Linked DNA regions of Lepisosteus oculatus. The protein of the gene in region 2 purifies or fractionates together with the protein of the main gene of each other region. This does not show direct contact. Links are inferred from orthologs where the notes say so. Each region holds a gene or a part of one and is shown on either strand. Other genes may lie near its edges.

Region 1 (7,400 bases), on a different chromosome or scaffold from region 2:
TTTAGAAAGAGGAGGAGAAACCGGGGACGTTAGACAAATCGAAGGCCCCGCAATTTTCAGAGCGCCCCGTCGGTGTGTTATGCCATCGAGGACACCGAGGGTGGTGGGGGGTGGGGAACAAGCTCTTCTGCACACAAAGGGTACACAGTGTGTACAGGCGATTCCTTCACCGTGTCAGTGTGGGGCACTCCCTCCAGACTAAAGAGACTCAGTTCCTTCACCACGTCACTGTGGGACACTCCCTTCAGACTAAAGAGACTCAGTTCCTCCGGCCTGTCAGTGCGGGACGCTCCCTTCAGACTAAAGAGACTCAGTTCCTGCAGCCTGTCAGTGCGGGACACTCCCTTCAGACTAAAGAGACTCAGTCCCTCCAGCCTCTCAGTGCGGGACGCTCCCTTCAGACTAAAGAGACTCAGTTCCTCCAGCCTGTCAGTGCGGGACCCTCCCTTCAGACTGAAGAGACTCAGTTCCCTCAGCCTGTCAGTGTGGGACACTCCCTTCAGACTAAACAAACTCAGTTCCCTCAGCCTGTCAGTGTGGGACGCTCCCTTCAGACTAAAGAGACTCAGTCCCTCCAGCCTGTCAGTGTGGGACGCTCCCTTCAGACTAAAGAGACTCAGTCCCTCCAGCCTGTCAGTGCGGGACGCTCCCTTCAGACTAAAGAGACTCAGTTCCTCCGGCCTATCAGTGTGGGACACTCCCTACAGACTAAAGAGACTCAGTTCCTCCAGCCTGTCAGTGCGGGACACTCCCTACAGACTGAAGAGACTCAGTTCCTGCAGCCTGTCAGTGTGGGACACTCCCTTCAGACTGAAGAGACTCAGTCCCTCCAGCCTCTCAGTCTGGGACGCTCCCTTCAGACTGAAGAGACTCAGTTCCCTCAGCCTGTCAGTGGGGGACACTCCCTTTAGACTAAAGAGACTCAGTTCCTGCAGCCTGTCAGTGTGGGACACTCCCTACAGACTAAAGAGACTCAGTTCCTCCAGCCTGTCAGTGCGGGACACTCCCTTCAGACTGAAGAGACTCAGTTCCTGCAGCCTGTCAGTGTGGGACACTCCCTTCAGACTGAAGAGACTCAGTCCCTCCAGCCTCTCAGTCCGGGACGCTCCCTTCAGACTGAAGAGACTCAGTTCCCTCAGCCTGTCAGTGGGGGACACTCCCTTTAGACTAAAGAGACTCAGTTCCTGCAGCCTGTCAGTGCGGGACACTCCCTTCAGACTGAAGAGACTCAGTTCCTACAGCCCGCCAGTGCTGGACAGTGTCAGGCCCTTACATTTGTACCCACCTACACACTCAGACGCATCAGCAAAAACAAAAAAGCTGATCGTCTTTGCCTTGATCTGTATTTTTTTTTCCACTGCAACGTGTGTTTTTGTGCAAACGACCCGGGGTCTCTACGGAGCTGGGAAAGATCCCGTTTGGGAACCCGCGTGGCTTGGGCGCGCAGGGCATCGGGGAAACCGTGAACACACACACACGCAGACACAGACACCCAGGGCAGCATAGTTCTTGTCTCAGTACCGCAGCTGCAGGCAGGAATCTACGTCGAAAAGCGTCGAAACAACACAGCGGCGAGAGCTGTTTCCACGCGCCCAAACCCACACCGCGGGTACCAGCCAGTAACCGTCTCGTCTCGCGGGGGGGGGGACCTCCGATGGAAATCTGTGTGGCCGGGTGACAGAGCCACAGCGCGCCTCCACGCAGACTGCTCTCACGCCCCCGCGGGGCACCGAGAGGGTGAGACAACAGGGCAGGCGTGGGCGGCGAAAACAAAACAACATCTACCTGCCCGGCCGGGCCGCGCTCAGGAGGGACAGTCGACCCACCGAGACGGGCGCTGCTCCAATCAGAAACGTCTGTTTCCCCCCCCCCCCTATTTTTTTATAGCCCCAAAAACAAAACTGTCTGTGGTCACCTTTCAGAGAACCAATCAGCAGTGTCCCCTGCTTACCTTTCAGAGAACCAATCAGCAGTGTCTCTGGTCACCTTTCAGAGAACCAATCAGGAGCGTCCCCTGCTTACCTTTCAGAGAACCAATCAGCAGTGTCTCTGGTCAGCTTTCAGAGAACCAATCAGGAGTCTCTGGTCACCTTTTCAAAGAACCAATCAGCAGTGTCCCTGCTTACCTTTCAGAGAACCAATCAGCAGCGTCTCTGGTCAGCTTTCAGAGAACCAATCAGCAGTGTCTCTGGTCACCTTTCAGAGAACCAATCAGCAGCGTCCCCTGCTTACCTTTCAGAGAACCAATCAGCAGCGTCCCCTGCTTACCTTTCAGAGAACCAATCAGCAGTGTCTCTGGTCACCTTTCAGAGAACCAATCAGGAGTCTCTGGTCATCTTTCAGAGAACCAATCAGCAGTGTCTCTGGTCATCTTTCAGAGAACCAATCAGCAGCGTCTCTGGTCACCTTTCAGAGAACCAATCAGCAGTGTCTCTGGTCACCTTTCAGAGAACCAATCAGCAGTGTCTCTGGTCACCTTTCAGAGAACCAATCAGTAGTGTCTCTGGTCACCTTTCAGAGAACCAATCAGTAGTGTCTCTGGTCACCTTTCAGAGAACCAATCAGGAGTCTCTGGTCACCTTTTCAAAGAACCAATCAGCAGTGTCCCTGCTTACCTTTCAGAGAACCAATCAGCAGCGTCCCCTGCTTACCTTTCAGAGAACCAATCAGCAGCGTCTCTGGTCAGCTTTCAGAGAACCAATCAGCAGTGTCTCTGGTCACCTTTCAGAGAACCAATCAGCAGCGTCCCCTGCTTACCTTTCAGAGAACCAATCAGCAGTGTCTCTGGTCACCTTTCAGAGAACCAATCAGGAGTGTCTCTGGTCACCTTTCAGAGAACCAATCAGGAGTCTCTGGTCACCTTTTCAAAGAACCAATCAGCAGTGTCCCTGCTTACCTTTCAGAGAACCAATCAGCAGCGTCTCTGGTCACCTTTCAGAGAACCAATCAGGAGTGTCTCTGGTCACCTTTTCAAAGAACCAATCAGCAGTGTCCCTGCTTACCTTTCAGAGAACCAATCAGGAGCGTCTCTGGTCACCTTTCAGAGAACCAATCAGGAGTCTCTGGTCACCTTTTCAAAGAACCAATCAGCAGTGTCCCTGCTTACCTTTCAGAGAACCAATCAGGAGCGTCTCTGGTCACCTTTCAGAGAACCAATCAGGAGTGTCTCTGGTCATCTTTCAGAGAACCAATCAGGAGTCTCTGGTCACCTTTTCAAAGAACCAATCAGCAGTGTCCCTGCTTACCTTTCAGAGAACCAATCAGGAGCGTCTCTGGTCACCTTTCAGAGAACCAATCAGGAGTGTCTCTGGTCATCTTTCAGAGAACCAATCAGGAGTCTCTGGTCACCTTTCAGAGAACCAATCAGCAGTGTCTCTGGTCACCTCTGGTCACCTTTCAGAGAACCAATCCGGAGAATCTCTGCTCGCCTTTCAGGGGCTCAGTGGAGGGTGTCTGCGGGTTTCTCTCCTTCCTGAGGCACTGAAACTGCGTCGATCCGTTTGGGGTTTAACAGGTGTAAGGACATGATCGTCAGGAAGTCCGACCACAGTCTCACTCACAGTCGAAGAGAGATTTTCCTCGATGAGTCGTCTCTCCTCGGGCTATGAGAAACTCCTCCGACTCGATACCCAACCAAGAAACATTTCGCTTTACGAGCGTAACCGATTCCTAGAAAACTTCCGACTATTTTTTGGAGGAAAATACGTTTCCCCACAACTCAGCTTCTGAAACCTTTCGTTTCGCCCAGGAGGTGTGGAAAAGTGCGCCGGGGTTTCTAAACTAAGTGACGAACAGCCTAAATTAAAAAAAAAACACCAGTAAATGTTTCCTACAGGGCATTATCGGGAGTGATCGGCTTACTAGATATTTCTGAACCCTGGTGCGGTCCGTCTCTTCCGAAACGCACGTTAGAGAGCCTCCTCGTTTCGACCCTGAAACTGCCCTCTTTAAAGGGACCGAAGGGTTGCAACTCGTAGAAAAGATGCCTTAAAATGTCACGGCTCCGTCTCCTCCTCTCCCGCGTTCTCTGTAAGCCAATCGGGAGTGTCCATCATCGCCTATCTGTGAACCAATCAGGAGCGTCGGTGGTCTCCTCCGTGAACCAATCAGGAGCGTCTCTGGTCTCTTCCATGAGCCAATCAGGAGCCCAGTCCCGAGACTAAGGGGGCGTGTCTTCCGTGTCGCGGAAAGTCCTTATCTGCTAATTAATAATACTGTAGGTTTACCGAGGCTGTTAAACCACACCCAAAGAGAAAGAAAATCACGGACAAGATGATATCCTTCCATCTCGTGCTTAAATTTGGACACAAATGGGTCTTTGTTTCGAAACTGAAAAACATTTTATTACGTACAAACGTTTCACGGGATTCGGAAGTATTGAAGTTTTCGCCTCCAGGTGTCGTGCTCCAGGTCTCCAAGTGAACGTTTCGGTTATTGTTTTTTTTTTTACATAAATAAGGCATTTTGAAACGCACCCCGGGCAGCCCCCTCTCCCCACTGGAGCCCCAGCAGGTGTGTGAGCCCGGCCAGTACCTGGAGGGGAGACTCCTGGGAAAAACTGAGGCTGCTGCTGCTGGGAGAGGTGTGAGTGGGGCCAGCAGGGGGCGCTCTCACCCTGCGGTCTGCGTGGGGTCTTGCTGCCCCAGTATAGCGTCGGGGGGACAACATGCAAACTCCACACAGACAACACCCCAGCGCCTCAGTTGAACCTCTGCCTCACTGTGCTGCTGCTGTTGCTGCTAGCACCCAGACACCCAGACTCACACCACACGAGCTCATTATCTAGCGCGGGGGGGAGGTGCGGAACTGCAGCCCACAGCCCCCGCTACCAACAGGCGTGGGGCAGACACACCGTGTATAGCGCCGGACACGCAGCTACCCCGGATGTGGCGCGTCTGTCTGTACAGACCGATACGATTGATCTAGACGCTGCTGGAAACAAACAAACAACAACAAAAAAAAACACCGACAACAACTCCCTAAAAGCTGTGAACTCGACACGCGCGTCTTGTGCTCGCACGCAGTGAAACCACACGCGTGGGCGGGCGGTAGCCGGAGCGGCGCGAGGCGAGGGGCCTGGTCTGCGCTCCTCCCACACAGCCGCCCGAGACGGCAGCGCGAGCTGACCCCCACTGACCCCGGGCCCCTACTGTCACGGCCCAGCAAGACAAAAAAAACACGCACGTTTTTAAACCTGCAGAGACACGGACACCAGCTCCTCTGTCCCCACAGTCTCTCCCTCCCCTCCGTGTCTCCTTCTTCACCCGAGCGCTTCTTCCGAACCTCAAAACCCCCCTTTTTTGTGTGTTTTGTTTGGTTCTAAAGCGCCGGTCCGGTCCGGTCCAGTCCAGTCCGGTCCGGTCCCCCCGGAGGAAGAGGGAGATGATGGAGACTGGAAAAGAGCCAGCCGCCCCCGCCTCTCCTGCACAGTCCTCGTTCCTATGAACGGTTTCAAAAAGATTTCGTTGTACTTGAAACAAACAAACAAACAAAAAAAACCTCACGATCTTTTAACAATGATTCTATTCCTCCCAAGTGCTGTAGGTAGAAGAATGTTTCGCCCCCACCTCTCTCTCTCCGGGGCTCGGACCTGCAGGACAGTCTCTCTCTCCTCCCCCCCCGACCCGAGTCACACCCGCCCCCCCTCTCCGGGCAGGCAGGAGATCTCCGAGTAGAGACCCGGGGGCGGCGGCGCTGGCCCGGGACGCGGGCGCCCCCTCAGCACCGGCACCTCCACGGCGGCGTAGTCCGTCGCCCCGGCGTCTCCCTGCGAGGAGAGGAGACACACACACACACCCGGGGCGTGAGAAAGACCGCCCGGTCCTTACCGCCGCTCAGACTCAGTCCATGGACAGTGATGGACAGCAGTCCATCACAGGGCACACACACACCCTGGACAGGACAGCAGTCCATCACAGGGCACACACACACACTCACACACCCTGGACAGGACACCAGTCCATCACAGGACACACACACACACACACACACACACACACACACACACACACACACACTCACACACCCTGGACAGGACAGCAGTCCATCACAGGGCACACACACACACTCACACACCCTGGACAGGACACCAGTCCATCACAGGACACACACACACTCACACACCCTGGACAGGACACCAGTCCATCACAGGACACACACACACACACCCTGGACAGGACACCAGTCCATCACAGGACACACACACACACACCCTGGACAGGACACCAGTCCATCACAGGACACACACACACACACACACACACACACACACACACACACACACACACACACACACACCCTGGACAGGACACCACTCCATCACAGGACACACACACACACACCCTGGACAGGACACCAGTCCATCACAGGACACACACACACACACCCTGGACAGGACACCAGTCCATCACAGGACTCACACACACACTCACACACCCTGGACAGGACACCAGTCCATCACAGGACATACACTCACCAGCACCGCGACATTGCAAGACAGCCATCGCTGGCGGCAATAACACCACCGCCGGCCGGGTCACACGACCGGCTTTCAAGCGCGCCCAATAACAGGAGAAATAACGCTTTTAGTAAAGTACTCATACGACAAGTACTCAAGTAAGTACTCACGCTGCCTGCGTCGTTTGTAATAAATTTTTAAGTATTATAACGGCACGTTATTATATGCATGAAATGAGGTGGTCCGGGAAGACCCCTGTGTTGGAGCATTTTAAACCGGAGGTAAGGGGGGTATTCGCAGACAATTTCCAAGTGCACACATCTGAACGTTATTTTTATTGAAGGTGTTTCATCTTTTTTTCATAGCTCGAATTGATGTAGTCCTGTGCAACCCCCGACGGTCTTTTTCCGTCTTGACTTGTTAGACGTGCTCCTGTTTGTATTGCGAATGTTGTTATTGTGTGAAGCATAAATGAAAAAAAAAATAAATACATTTAAAAAAATAAAAAACCCAACTCACGCTGCCCGCGTCTTCTCTCCGGCCCCGTCGGTCCTCCGGAGACGCGTCCCCTGGGGCGGAGGAGCAGAAAAAAAAATTAAAACCAATTGAACACGATAAAAACCCAACACCAAACCCAGCCTCACAAAGCGCAATGGGCGCCGAGCGCCCGAAACCTCTCTGTTTCCCTGAAGACATGACGTTTCCCGGTCCCACAGGATTAATACCGTTTCATACCGGCTGCCCCGTGTTTCTACCACCAAGTCTAGAGTAACACCGGGTGAGAATCCCTTCCCCGAAATTCCTGGGACCGGATTTCGGAATATTTTAATATTTGCGTCTCTAAAATGGGACCCAAGTCTAAACGCGATAGCCATTTACATTTCCTAATATAGCGGACACCTCTACCCTGAATGTCGTTTTATATACATTTGAAATCATTTGT
Region 2 (7,545 bases):
CAATTACCTTTCTTGAATGACATTATCTTTTCTTTTTACTTTAGATGAGCACAATCAGCTGGTCTCACCATAAACTTCAGTTTTCTGTTCTTTCCAAACTGTTAGACTGCATGCAAGACTCAAAATAGGACCATTAAATGAACAGAAATTACCTTTGTAAAAAAAAATGAAAATAAGAATAACATTATTAATTTCACAAACAGGATATTCATGTAAAAAGTAAATATGTACATATTCAATTCCGTTCAATTTATTTTTATATAGCACCTTTCACAACAAGGTTACCCCAGGGCGCTTAACAATATACTGTAAGTAACCATACATTTTGTGAATACAGAACAGAAAAGACCAGAAGACAACGGAGGAGAGGAACCAAAAACTCCTTAGTAAGGAGATAAAAAAGCTCTAAGGGTCCAAGGTCAACTGGATGCCCAACCCTTTTGGCCATGCTAACATTATATAAGTCAAAAAAAGGAAATAAATGAATGAGGATATTAATCCATCCATCCATCATGTCTTCTGTGGGTCAGTACTCCATGCAGATGTCTGTAGACCAGCAAAATTCTCCTAAACGATAGCTATATCCACAATGTACCTCTTGATACTCAGATATATTTTTCTGAGTATCTTCATATACAGTATGTTACATTTACAAATTCTGCATTATAAATAAATGAATTCATAGCATGTATATCTATTAACATAATCATTGATTTTTTGGGTGAATTCAAGGACACTGCACTCTAATATTTTAATACAGGATCAGAGGGGAATGTCTTAAGCACATCTGCATACTTTCTTTCACATAGAGAGGATACTAAAACTGAAGACAAACATATGTAAATTATGTTCTGTTTACTTATTCATAAATATGGATTAATCTTTTTCAACATTTTACCATTTTTTATGTTTTTCTTTCTAGTAGCAAAAATGCACAAGGCTAACTTTTATTTCCTTTTATTATTCCATACAAGTTCTATGTCTAAGACAGCAGCTGTTAACACTAGTTCACATTGTGACAAGTAGGGTGGGTGCCCTCTCCTGACCAGAACTGAGCCACTCAGAAGGAATTTCACGCAGATGGTACCCTTTAACCCAGTGTAGTCCTACAGTGATAACACCTACTGCTGTTTCCAACCGAAGACAGACGTAAGGAGAGACTAACAGTGCCCCCTAGTGGAATAGTGATTTACTGGATGCCATAATATTAATGATGGAAACTTTTTGTTCCTTAAAAAGTCTAACATCTTTCCCAAAGATTGTATGTTGACACAATAATAACAAATTATTTCACATATTAACAATGTGTTATGTGTATTTAACATCTTTCCTTATGTTTTATGTTGATGCAATAATAATAATTTATTACAGATATTAACAAGGTATCACATGCATTTGCTTCAGATTCAAAGTGGTTCAAACTAGAATTAATTTGACTAAGCTATACTTAATTGCCAAATAAACAGGTTTAATGAATGCAAATAATAATTATCTAACAGTATTGGGCAAAGCAAAGCTAATTTCTTCCATTTTCTTCACATTCCATTATATGCCTTTATTCATTCATCATTAGTATGATAAGAATATAGGAAAGATTGACAAGTGGTTGTTGCTTGGACCATTTTGCTCATTTGGTATTGTAGCAACTCAGTAAATTCAGATGTTTCTTGAAGGAGCCCAGAATCTGGACCTCAGCTTCCTGACACCCTCAACTCTACCCTCAGCTGATAAGAAATATTTACTGATCTCCATTCTCAATCTCCAGAGACCATTAGTTATTCTTGTAGCTCGTCTTTGAACTCTTTCCAAGTCTGCAAGATTCTTGTTTTGGTAAAGTAATTTATATCCATCCAGTTTCTAATCCACTTATCCATGTCAGGTGCACCCCAAGTCTAACCAGCAAGCAACAGGCACAAGGCTGGATATGCCCTGGACATGGTGCCTGTCCAACACAGGGCACACACAGACACAAACATGCACACATGCAATGTGCTTTAAAGGAATCAATTGTCCTTGTTTAAAGAATTTTGTATAGTACGTAAAACAATAGCAGCCTTTTCTAAATCCTTATTGAATGTTTCCTAAAATGCTATTATTTAGCAAATATTTTTCCAGTTTAGCTTTATTGTTTCCCTAACTTTACCAATAACAGAAGTAACTCATTCAAGGGTCAACTTACCCAAAAGCCTACAGTACCAGTATGTCAGTATGGGAGGGAACCAAAGCACGCCGAGGAAACCCATGCAAACACGAGGAGACCATACAAACTCCACACAGACAGCACCCCAGGAAATGAATCCTGGGCCCCTGGTGCTGTGAAGCAGACATGCTAGCTATTTACAATTGTGTCACCCGGTGATTTATACATTTGGTATAACATTAAGTAAAGTACACAGATAAGTACAATGACCTTCCCTTGATTTAACGTCCACATTCATGCTATATACCCCAACATTGTTTGCTGTTCTATTGTTTTCCTATACTGACCTGAGTCCTGAAAACAATAGTCATAAACACCGGATCCCCGGATCCCTTCATACAAAGCTTCCAGCTACGTAGGGTCACCCATGTGACATTTAATTCCCAGCTGCCATATCACCCTGAATCTCACAATTGACAACCCACTCAAGTTAAACAGGTGTGAGCCTGGATGGGAGACCTCCTGGGAAAAACTAAGGTTGCTTCTGGAAGAGGTGTTAGTGGGGCCAGTAGGGGGCACTTACCCTGTTGACTGTGTGGGTCCTAATGCCCCAGTATAGTGACGGGGACACTATACTGTAAAAAGGTGCTGCCCTTCGGATGAGATATAAAACTGAGGTCCTGACTTCTGTGGTTGTTAAAAATCCCAGGGTACTTTTCAAAAAGAGTAGGGTGTCCCATTGGCCTTAACCAATCATGGCTTCCTAATAATCCCCATCTACGAATTGGTTTCATCACTCTGTTCTCGTTGTTAGCTGGTGTGTGGTGAGTGTACTTGCGCACTATGGATGCCATCACATCATCCAAGTGCGGTTGTACAGGTGGAATGGTGGCACTGTGGCTAGGGATCTGTGTCTGTGACAGCAAGGTTGCTGGTTCAAATCCTAAGGCTGGCAGAGGAATCCTACTCTGTTGAGCCCCTGAGCAAGGCCCTTAACCCCAACTGCTCCAGCTGTATAAATAGCTAATCCTGCACTCTTACCTTGAACTTCTCCCTCTGTGCCTGTGTGTCTCCTGGAGAGCAAGCTAGGGTATGTGAAAAGACAAATTCCTAATGCAAGAAATTGTATATGGCTAATAAAGTGATCTTATCTTACATTGGTGGTGGTGGAGGGGAGTCCCCATTACCTGTAAAACACTTTGAGTGTAGTGTCCAGAGTATTCTTATACTTATTTTAAGAATCAGTCTGACTAGAATTCTTTCACTTTAGGATCACTCACTGCTTCATATTTGTTAATTGGCTTTTAACCTGTATTGATATATGACAAGAATTCTACAGATTGAGTTTCAACTGTTTTAGAGAGACTTAGTGAAAAGCTTTCTGAAAACCAAATCACATCGTGTGATTTCGAGTTTATCAGTTGTCCTTGTTGCATATGCAAAGAATTTTAAGCATGATGTAAAACAATATTCTCCTTTTCTAAATCCTTGTTGAATGTCTCTTAAAATGCCATCATTTTGCAAATATTCTTCCAGTTAGCACTACTGTTTCCATGACCAGCCAAAATTAAGATTGATTGGCCTATAGTTTTGTTTTATGAATTGGTGTTTCATTCTAAATGTTCCCTTCTGTGGGTGCAGCTCCCATCTTTAATTAGAGTTGAAATATCTTGGTTAAATATTTATTAATACTATCCCTCATTTCTTTTAGTCCAACTGTGAAAATATCATGTTCCAGTGATTTATTCATTTTTATCCACAAAATAGTAATACCTCAGTGTCAGGTATGCAAAAATCACAATGTTAATGACACTCCTTTTTCTCCACATTTTCTGTTCTCTTCTAGAATTTATTTTTTAAAGTATTTTCTTCAGCTTATGTTTAATATTATGTTTTTGAACTGTAACCATCCCTTATTTCTATTTTATTGCTATTGACTCTGTATCCATCTGCTGACCTCGTGTACGCTGTTTGCACATTCTGCCTTCCTCATTCAGTCTGTTTTCTTTAAATTTAAAGTCTGATTTTGGACTAAACCGTTTAGAGGTTTAAGTGTGCATCAAAGACTGCCATATCATGATTACACCTAATATGTTTATTCTGCGCTGGTTCTTAAAACAAAAAGGTCAATGACAGCGTCTATCCTAGTCCCTGCCTTTGAAAACTGGGGTAAAAAGCAATCATAAGCCACTTCAAACATTGATTTTAGCTTCTAAAAGAGCTAAAATTAAAAATAAAATGTTAAAGAAGGGGTTCTCAATCAGTAGATTAATGTTGATTGATGTTATTTAACATAAAATACTGCCCTCTATCTTCCACAAGACGGATTTTTTTAACCTGGAAGTAGTTGTGATCTGTAGCCAGTGACAATAGTGCGCACGCACAAACATGGCGATCTGCACAAACGCATTAACAGTTTTCTGTTCATCAGCAGGAAGTTGGGTCTCTTAGTGACAGTTGTAAGTTAGGAAGAGATGATGGCCGTGGATGTGAAATCCAGAGCAAAGAGATACGAAAAGCTTGATTTTCTTGGAGAGGGCCAGGTAAAGGGAAAGTTCTTTAGTTTTAAAAAACAACAGCTGAAGTATATATCGATGCATATAGTTGAGCTGTAGCAGGAAAGCGGACACTACTATTAAATTAAAGGTCTCTGTGAAGAATTACACGCTATTCATAAAAACTGTTAGTGTCGTAAGAAAATGTTTTTGAATTTGCATAGCCTACAGAAAGGCTGTTGCAATAAAAACATTTTTTATTGTTGTGTGATACAGGGTTGCTGTAGTTAATTTCACTTGGTGTGAACAAATCGGATAGAAAATAGTTAATAGGATAAATAGGTGCTGTTTTTATATTATTGTTTAGAATTGTTTTTTTTTAAACGACAAATATTAAATGTTTTGCTTGTTGGTTGCAAATAACTGTTTTGGAATGGCTTCCTGATCTATATCACCTCATCTCTTTGCAGTTCGCAACTGTTTACAAAGCAAGAGATAAGAATACAAACACCATAGTTGCGATCAAAAAGGTATTGTTGCTTACTCTTTTCATTTTGAATATAGCTCCATTGTAGTACTCGCAATTTGTCTTCTAAATGCAAAGTTGTCTACCTTGAGACTGTTTAATTGTACATGTGGAAAAAGCAAATATGTTATCCAGAACACTTCGTTTATTGTTTTCGTGTGTTAATTGTCCTCTTGAGATTCTAATTTAATTTTTCTTAAACAGGAATTACAAACAGAATTACTTCGCACTTTAAACGATCCTTTTTGAAGATGCATTTCTAAATTTCTAATTTCAGATTAAAGTTGGTCACAGAGCTGAAGCCAAAGATGGTAAGATGGATACTTACATTTATTATGCTGTTATACCTATTTATTTATTTCTGAAAGGTACATTATTTTGTTAGAATTGTGAAAGATTTAGGAAGACCTTTAAAACTCCTTTAAAGGTGTTGTTTAAATAACCTTAACTTTAATCTAAAATAGTTTTAATTATGGTATACCTATAGATTTGTAAGCAGTGCTTTGACAAGCATATAGAACAATTTCAGCAGTGAATGGGGAGAAATGGTCATTTTATTACTTACATTGGCAATGTTAGCAGTCCACTTTCTTGATCCAGTCAAGCTCTAATTGTTTAAGACAGTCTGATACAAGTTAAGACGCGACATATAGGAGCATAAATAATGGTTTATGTCCCAAGATGGTATTACAGTAAAAAATCTAGTCTAGAAACATGTACACGCACACAAGTATCTTTGAATTAACGAAAAACAATACCTAATGTCTTTGCCATTCTCTGTCAGTAGATATCGACACTTAGGCATTCTGTATCTGTCATCACAAGAATTGTCATTCACATTACCTGGCAATGACAAAAACATTTTTGTTCCCAGAAGTCACCAGCATCACAGTTCTCACACTCATTCTTATTGTTGTGATTTTGTTTCCCTTTTCTGTTACTCTCCATACATTTTTATGCAGCATTTCTTATTTCAGAATTTCCTTATTGAACATAATTTCTTTAATGATTCTCCCAGAAGAAATCGCCCACAATACTTATAGTACTCAGCCATACAATAAGCTCAGTGAGGGTTTTTCCACCGAAAGGTATTTATTACAAAGTGATTGGTAGTGAAAACATTTTTTTGTAGAGATTCTTTCAATGGTTTGGTCACATTTAAACTCATACAGTAATTGGAAATTGATACAATCAGGTATAATCATAATTAAAGTCTGTGTTCATTGTCAACAAAAAAGACTTTCATTTCTGCAATAAAAAAAATACTACAGCAGACCTGTATGTTGTAGAAGAGAGCATTTCACTTCATAGCCAAAGGGTTGCAATTAATTTAGTTATGGTTTCAAGTGCCATTCTATGAATATGATTTTCCCAACAGCCTCTGCCTCAGTGCTTGGCAGCACATAGTTCAAATATTTTAACCAGTGTTGTTTCACAGTGAATCGTAAGATTTTAAATCAAGCTTTCTTATGTATGCAATTACCCCACTTTGCACAGGTATTAACCGAACAGCCCTTCGAGAAATTAAACTGCTTCAAGAGCTAAGTCACCCAAATATAATTGGAGTAAGTATTTAGTTGAGCATTAATTTCTAACGTAATTTGTATTTGTGTGTCTGTTCTTTTGTAGTTTTACTTTTTGTGCTAACGTTTTGGGAGCAACCTACGAATTACCACTGTTTTGTTTTGTGTTGACAATTGATGCAGAATAGTTTTCGTATTTCCAGAATCCATTCTATTTAAGCAATAGGTTATTATACAGTTTATAAATCATGCTATGACAGATTTTAAATCTATTTTCCATGGTGTTTCAGAAGCATATGCAGCTGAACTGAATTTGACATGCTAGCTTAACTGCATTGCAGAGCAGTCCTGAATTGAAAGAGACATAACAGTGCCTAAGCAAATGCTGTTTATTCTTTCAATGTCTTATGCATGCCTTCAAAGAAAAAAGTTAATTGAATACTAATTAAACAGTGTAAAATAATTGATTTTTTCTTTTTTTTAAGGGAGCATTGATGTAACTTGATAATGTAACAGACCAGATGGTTGATTTTTTTACATTACTTGAAGACATAGTAATCTGCATTTTCTTGGTTACTGTACATTATAATATGATTACTTTTCATCTTTCATTAAGCTTCTAGATGCTTTTGGACATAAATCCAATATCAGTCTGGTCTTTGACTACATGGAAACAGATCTAGAGGTAAGGTTTTCTTTTAAAGACTGGTGCCTTGTGTTTGAGATCTGTCTTTCTTACATTTAGGAATTCTAGTGAATGTCTCTTTCCCACAGAAAATTACATCCTTTGCCTAGACTTTATATTCCCAGTTAATCATGAGAACAGAACCAGGTGTTCCTGTGGTGCTGTTAAGGGATTTA

The links. Proteins that work in one complex are often made in the same cells at the same time.
Region 1: the proteins of cdk7 (region 2) and gtf2h4 purify together in Homo sapiens (affinity purification with mass spectrometry; 7 studies listed by BioGRID and IntAct, with this or other methods). This does not show direct contact. The link is inferred for Lepisosteus oculatus from reciprocal best matches to the Homo sapiens genes CDK7 and GTF2H4.

Annotation. Positions count from the first base shown.
Region 1 is NC_090709.1:40,992,896-41,000,295, forward strand, and holds the start of gtf2h4 (general transcription factor IIH subunit 4), read right to left. Parts: upstream 3,045-7,400; 5' UTR 3,003-3,044; intron 1,928-3,002; exon of another isoform or gene 1,916-1,927; intron 1-1,915. Other genes in the region: uncharacterized protein, read right to left, coding at 5,630-5,767, 6,977-7,026. UniProt on the Homo sapiens protein: Component of the general transcription and DNA repair factor IIH (TFIIH) core complex, which is involved in general and transcription-coupled nucleotide excision repair (NER) of damaged DNA and, when complexed to CAK, in RNA transcription by RNA polymerase II.
Region 2 is NC_090698.1:41,758,964-41,766,508, forward strand, and holds the start of cdk7 (cyclin-dependent kinase 7), read left to right. Parts: upstream 1-4,498; 5' UTR 4,499-4,614; coding exon 4,615-4,683; intron 4,684-5,105; coding exon 5,106-5,165; intron 5,166-5,438; coding exon 5,439-5,472; intron 5,473-6,658; coding exon 6,659-6,726; intron 6,727-7,300; coding exon 7,301-7,369; intron 7,370-7,545. UniProt on the Homo sapiens protein: Serine/threonine kinase involved in cell cycle control and in RNA polymerase II-mediated RNA transcription. Cyclin-dependent kinases (CDKs) are activated by the binding to a cyclin and mediate the progression through the cell cycle.